Cricetulus griseus: one gene and its partner. The protein of the gene in region 1 interacts with the protein of each later gene in a pairwise test. Links are inferred from orthologs where the notes say so. Each region holds a gene or a part of one and is shown on either strand. Other genes may lie near its edges.

Evidence for each region.
Region 2: the proteins of Golga1 (region 1) and Pdcl2 interact in a two-hybrid assay, tested with the Homo sapiens proteins (2 studies listed by BioGRID). The two-hybrid records come from large-scale screens. The link is inferred for Cricetulus griseus from reciprocal best matches to the Homo sapiens genes GOLGA1 and PDCL2.

What each region holds. Positions count from the first base shown.
Region 1 is NC_048599.1:150,282,022-150,285,271, forward strand, and holds part of Golga1 (golgin subfamily A member 1), read right to left. Parts: coding exon 3,135-3,250; intron 1,777-3,134; coding exon 1,717-1,776; intron 1,264-1,716; coding exon 1,093-1,263; intron 707-1,092; coding exon 620-706; intron 1-619. UniProt on the Homo sapiens protein: Involved in vesicular trafficking at the Golgi apparatus level. Involved in endosome-to-Golgi trafficking. Mechanistically, captures transport vesicles arriving from endosomes via the protein TBC1D23.
Region 2 is NW_023276807.1:142,752,684-142,756,338, forward strand, and holds part of Pdcl2 (phosducin-like protein 2), read right to left. Parts: intron 2,013-3,655; coding exon 1,869-2,012; intron 856-1,868; coding exon 647-855; intron 1-646. UniProt on the Homo sapiens protein: Essential for male fertility, spermiogenesis and acrosome formation.

The DNA of each region.
Region 1 (3,250 bases):
AAACAAACAAACAAACAAACAAAACAAAACAAAAAAACACTGTTAAATGTAGGTGCCAGGCCCGAACTGGAGCAGTTGAGGAAGTGACATCAATGAAAATTCTGTGATGAGCTATAGTTTGGTGTCTGGCAGTGACAAAGAACAGAACATTGGGGGCTGGAAAGATGGCTCAGCAGTTAAGAGCACTGGCTGCTCTTCCATAGGTCCTGAGTTCAATTCCCAGCAACCACATGGTGGCTCACAACCATCTATAATAGGATCTGATGACCTCTTCTGGTGTGCAGGTATATACACAAAGCACTCATACATAAAATATAAATAAAAGAATGTTCTTTGAACTGCCTGGTCAATTTCATCTTACGAAAGCAAATAAACTACCAGGCAGTGGTGGCACAAGCTTTTAATCCCAGCACTCAGAAGGCAGAGGCAGCTGGATCTCAAGTTCAAGGCCAGTGCAAGTTCCAGGACAGCCGGGGCTACACAGAGAAACACTGTCTCTAATGCCCCCGCCCCCCCAAAAGCAAATAAGCTGAGGTACTACTGTGGCTGGTCTGGGTGTCAGTGCCTGGGTGACTGACACCTGTGCAGCGGTGGAAACAGCAGACTAGGGAAAGCCTACCTTATACTCCAGAGTTTCTTTGAGCATGCTCTCTTCTTCTTGTGAAAAGTTCAACAGCACTGACACTGCTTTTATGAGATGAAAAGCCTGCAACAAAACCCACTTTTGTTGCCATAGGCCTTGGGGGTAGGCAGGCAGTTGAGGGACTAAAGAGCAGCATTTCCTGTTTCCCTTGGTTCACAAGGATGAGATGGTGGGTGCAGTTCTAGCTCTTTGAGTCATCTCTGACTTTGGGAGCCAAGAGAATATCCTCAACAGCTAACCCTGCTCTTCATGCTGGACAGACTCTTTCTAGGTCTTTGGCTTCAGCAACACAAGCTAAAATTCAGAGGGGAACCACTTCCCTTCATGGTCTGCTCAACAAGTCAGTACTGAGGGATGAGGGAAGAAGGTGGAAGCAGGCTGAGGGAAGCCATGCAGGACTGGCTGGCTGTACAAGCCCGATACCCCAAAAAGCATTTTGAAGTCTTTACCTCAGATTCTCGACAGGACATGAATTTTAAAACAACATGTTTAAGGTATTCAAAGTTGATCTCTCGGGCATCAGTCAGGTCAGCATTATTGGTGACAGAAGGGGCCATATTTGGTATCTCAGGGCCTGTCTTTTCCCGGACCTCAAAAAGCTCACTGTCAGGCCTGATTTTCTGAAAAGCAATGGAAAATGTGCCATGTCAAACCCCTCCAGCTAATTCTAGGATCACAGGAAGATTCTCCAGACCCAGCTGTAACTAGCTCTTCGACTAACTGCACATCATTGGGCAAAAGGGCCCTTGACTAGAAGGAAGTGCCTGAGCTGAGGAAGGCTCAGCTCTTCTCTTGGGGTCAGTAAGAGGAGTGAACTAGGGAACTCTCTATGTGAGAATGCAGGCAGGCATGGATAAGGCAGACTCAGACCGTGGGCCCTAGGTCAAATGGTCACAAGAACACTTCTCAAGCTTTAAGACCCTTCTCCCACCACCCCACACCTGACTTCTCAGAGAACCCTCTGCAATCAACTAAGAGAACACACCCCCCCCAGGGAGTCAATGACCTCAGGAGGACCAGAGAATCAGGGACATATGGGACTGAGTGCGTGGAGGGCACAAGTGGGCACTCACCAGCTCCTTCTGTAGAGTCTTCTTAAGTTCCAGCATCCTCTGCTGCATCTGCTTCATAATCTGAGGTAACCCCCACCCCCAATACCAGCTGTCAGTGCCATGTTAGAAGGCCCTAAGAGGCCCTCCTGTAGGTTCATTCTCAGGGCCCTCTAGGGCTTCCTTGCCGCTGTTCCACCCTTTGCTTTCCCAGGACCCACAGGGGCCACAGTATTAGCCTGTTCTTTCAATAGAACACTGCCACCCACCCTTGTGTGCTGGGCCCTCAGGCCTTCTGGCAGCACCCACATACTTGGAGCCTGCTGCTGTGAGTGGCTCTGTAGAATATACTACAGGTTTTTAAAGTATGGATGTTTGCTTTTAGTTGTGTTGAATGCCCTGGGACTGGAGTTGCCATGTGGATGCTGGGAGTTGAACCCAGGTTCTCTGTACGAGCAGTACTCTTAACCACTAAGCGATCTATCCAGCTCCTCAGATTCCTTTTTTTTTTTTTTTTTTTTTTTTTTTTGGTTTGAATCTCATGGTTGTCACTGCTGTACTGATAATTTCAGTGTTTTCTGTATAAGCCACTAATACTGGATACTGGTTTTATTTTTATGTTTTAATCAGTGGGTTTACTATAAGGCTTAAATGTAGTTTACTACACATTCCATCATTCATTCAAAAAGCTGTACTCCATTTTCCTAACTTGAAACTTTATAATCTGTCTCAAGGGATTTTATTTTCCTTAGCGACAGGGATCAAGCTCAAGGAAAAAAAAAATGTTTTTTGAGACAAGGTTTCTTCTGTGTAGCCCTGCCTGTCCTGGAACACTGTAGACTAACCAGTTTGGCTCAAACTCACAGAGATCTGCCTGCTTCTGTCTCCCAAGTACTGGGATTAAAGGCGTGGGCCACCATGGTGAGACCAGTCTCTAAAGAAAGCTTCTCATGGGCTGGAGAGATGGTTCAGAGGTTAAGAGCACTGGCTGTTCTTCCAGGGGTCCTGAGTTCAATTCCCAGCAATCATATGGTGGCTCACAACCATCTGTAATGAGATCTGGTGCTCTCTTCTGGCCTGCAGGCATACATGAAGACAGAACACTGTATACATAATAAATAAATAGCTATTTAAAAAAAAGAAAGCTTCCCATGGCCTAGGATAGCCTTTTCTTCTGGCCCTTCTGCATCTGTCTCCAGAGTGCAGGGTTACAGGTATGCATCACTATGTTCAGCAAGGACTTAACTTGCACTGAGAGATGTAAACACTGGAGGACAGAAGAGTGAGACCAAAACCTATCAGAAATCCAGCACCAACCTCTTGAGGAGAGATGGCAGACTTGGTGGAAGGGGTAATGGCACTGAGGAGGAACAGCGGGGCCTCAGGCCTGAGGGCTGGGCTAGAGCAGACCCACAGCTAGCCCAGGTCCTGGGTGTCCTCACCTTATTTTTCTCTGTAAGTTGCTGCTCTAAGTCCTGCTTTTCTTTCTGTAGCTGCTCTAGATCCATGGCTTCAACCTCACCATTTGGGGTTCCGTCTGCAGCCTGAAGCTCATACT
Region 2 (3,655 bases), on another chromosome or scaffold:
TGGAAATGAGAACCTTGCGTTCAGGGTTTGGACCAGGAGGATAAAGTTGAGGAATTTGGGTGAAAGTAGAGATTTTTATGATGAAGTGTGAGTGTAAAGTTCTGTCTGGGATCTTCAGTGACTAAGCCCAGCCCAACTAAGGCATCCACTATCCAGGACTGAGAATTAGAGGTGTGCAGGTGGACTGGTTCTAAACTAAATAGTTTACATTTTTAGAGTTATTTTAAACAGACACCATTAAGATTCTTAAGCAAAAGGTGTTATGATATTATACCCATGACAACAGGAAAACCTATCTGGAGGATTTTTAAGAGGAATTGAATGGGGGCTGGAGAAATGGCTGGAGACACAGATCCCAGCACCCACATGGCAGACCATGAGTGCCTGGAGTTCCAGTGTCAGGTAATGCAACAACTGTTTCTGTCTTCCATGGGCACCAAACATGCACACTGCACAGGAACACACATACACACACACACACACATGTGCGTGCATGCTTGCGCTTGCTAATACAACTTTTAAAATCTTAAAAAGAAGAAAATTAAGGGGGAAAACTTTGTTTCAAAGAAATAAACTCATATTTGTTCATCTGGAGAACTTTTCACTTGTTACTATTACAAACATTAAACAAAAATTACATCATTACCTTCTAACTTGAGGTTTATCCCTCCACATTCTATAATTCCAATGAATTTGCCTTCTATCTGACCATTTTTATAAACAAAAATTGTTGGTAAACAGTTGTCATGGTAGTGTTCGATACAGCTATTCACGATGGCTTTAAGGAATTTAGTTTCTGGGAACTTCCTTGCTAGGAGACTAAGATGCTGGTTGACCAACAAGCACATGGGGACGCTAAAAAAGAGAATGCACAATGTGTTTCAAATACAGATTGCTTCTCTTAGTCTAGCCAAATAAGTGAAACCTATCTATTGCAAAAATAGATCTTTACTTTTTATATAAAAGCATATGTGTACCCTAGGAATGATGCTGGTACCCTGGGAATATGCATCCTAATTTAGGTAAACTACATTCCACTTAGCATTACTTTAGTCACTTAGCATCCTAGGTGGAAGAATATAGGAATACAAATGCAAAACAGGCATGTCTAGGGAATCTGGGGTAGCTCTGAGCTGCAATAAAGGGATCCAACTCTTGTCACTTCTTGGTCTAACCTCACAGGCACTCCCATCCAGAGTGCCTCATCTCAGACTTCCTTGGCTTTCTTGATCCTAATAAATTTCACCCAGTCTTCTGCATCCTGGATCCCAGTATCCAGAATTATTTCTCATCTAAAATTTAAAACTGGTTAAAAGCAGGATCCCAAACTTCCAATTCTTTCCACTTCATCCATCACAGACGCCCCACTCCACACACTCTCCCATCCCTCCCTTCCTCCTAGTGTACCACCCTGCACTTTGGCACGTGAGTTCATAGCTCACTCCCTGCCACCCTATGCCCCCCACACCTCCACTTTTTTCCATGCTCCTTGTGATGGTACACAATAATCTCAGAATTTGTGGGGTGGAAGGAGGATCAGGAGTTTAAGACTATCCTTGGCTGAGTTTGAGGTCAGCTTAGTGGGGTGTGTGTATGTTTGTGGTGGTGGGGGGTGATATAGGTGGTTTAATACCAAACAGTGATCACTTTTCTAACAAATGTGACAGACTTCAAATTGGAGATGAAAATATTTTAGCATACTTAATTTAATCCCTAGAGATAAACAATCTGCAATGCATTCATATGTAATACATGTTTCTTTCTCTAAGTTATTCCTCATCATAGGCATCATGAAGTCTAAAGCTAGAAGTGTTTTTAAAGCATTATGGCACCAACATTCTGAAATTACCACATTCCATGGTAGTTACCTTGATCTGTAGAGATGAATTATAACCCACAAATCTTTTTCTGCATTTGTAACTTCATTCACATACTGATTTCCAGAAATTTCTCTCAGTTCTCCAAATTTTTGTTTCTTCTTAAGTGCTTGCCATTCCTTTAACCGCTTTTCTCTAGTTGAAACAAAAATGTTATCTAAGTGTTATATCCTTTTATTTATTATGTATTTATTCTCTCTCTCTCTCTCTCTCTCTCTCTCTCTCTCTCTCTCTGTGTGTGTGTGTGTGTGTGTGTGTGTGTGTGTGTGTCCCCATGCGTCTGTCTGTCTGCCTTCCTGCTTGAGAGTTTTTGTGTTCCAGGAGTTTGCATGTGTCTGAGAAGCCCAAAGGCCTTGGACTCCCTGGCAGTGGAATTATAGGCAGTTGTGAGCCATCTGATGGGGGTTCTGGGGACTGAACGTTTTAGCATGTGCATATATGCATGTGTGTGCTTGTATGCATGTGTATGTGCACACAGGTGTATGTGTACCTGTGCACACCATTGCACATGTGTGGAGACAGAGAACATCTTGTAGGAGTTGGCTCTTTCCTTCTATCAGGTGGGTCCCAGGGAACAAATTCAGGCCATGGGGCTTGGCAGCAAGCACCTCCACCCACTGAGCCATCTCAGTGGTCCTTGTTTCCTGCATTCTTGATGTTCTGGCATCTAGAACTTTGCTAATCCTTTAGGGAATACTCATTTCAGAACTGGCTGGTTCTGAGAAAGAACAAACACTTGCCAGACAGCACATTCTTCAAACGTAAGCCAGCCAACTTGGAAAGCACAACCTTGGTCGGTTTTTATTTTCTCTTCTTTTTTGAGGCAAGGTCTGGCTATGTCCCTGAGACTGGTCTTACAGTCCTGGCTCAGACAGTCCTCTCACCTCTGCTTCCAAGTGTCTGGGACTTTGGGCATGCACTACCATGCCTGGTTTCAACTAACCCCCCCCTCCCGTTTGCCTTTTCTCCACCCTGTGGTTGTTGTTTTGTTTTCTTTTTCACAAGGCTCCCTGCCCTAGTCATCCCAGAACTGGTAACCAGATAACTAACAACAGACCTATCCCAGAGCCCACCAAAACGATTTGAACTAGCCAATCATAAGTCTGCTTACCCCTGCCTTGCATGTTCTTTCCCATAGAAACCAAAGGCTGTGTCAGAGGGTTTTTTTTTTTTTTTTTTTTTTTTTTTTCCCTTTGCTGCTTTTGATCCTGACCCTCTCAGGTGCTTCCTTTTGTGGACCCATGTGCCTGGGTGCACCCCTCCTCTTGAGAATGGTAACTGATCAGTGGCAGCCACCTCCCAATCATACTTGTGTCAAAGCAAACAACTCCCGAGCACACTTCAGAACACACTGGCCTCCTTTCATCCGGTAGAAGCATGCCAAATGAAAACTCATTTTACGTAACAATGAAGCCAAACACAATGACATCCAAAGAGAATAATAATGCAGACCTAGGTCTACTATTAGGCACCTTCTTAATGGTACAACTACCAAACTTTTCTCTTCCCACTCAATTTTCCCTCCCTAGGTCACTGGAAAGGTTAACACATGGGTTAATCCTGCCATCAGGAAGACACTGTTTAGTGGCCTGCATTTTGCACTTAACAATCAAACCAGTTGGGATTCATGTACATAGACATAAAGCCCTCTAGCTATTTTAAGCAGAAAGGAACTTAATCTGGGAAATTAAGCGCTTTGCAAACTTGCTGAAATGGTGGAAGTAGACACAAGGCTGGGCAACCAGGAATGACTCCCAGAACAACACTGCAAAACTGGT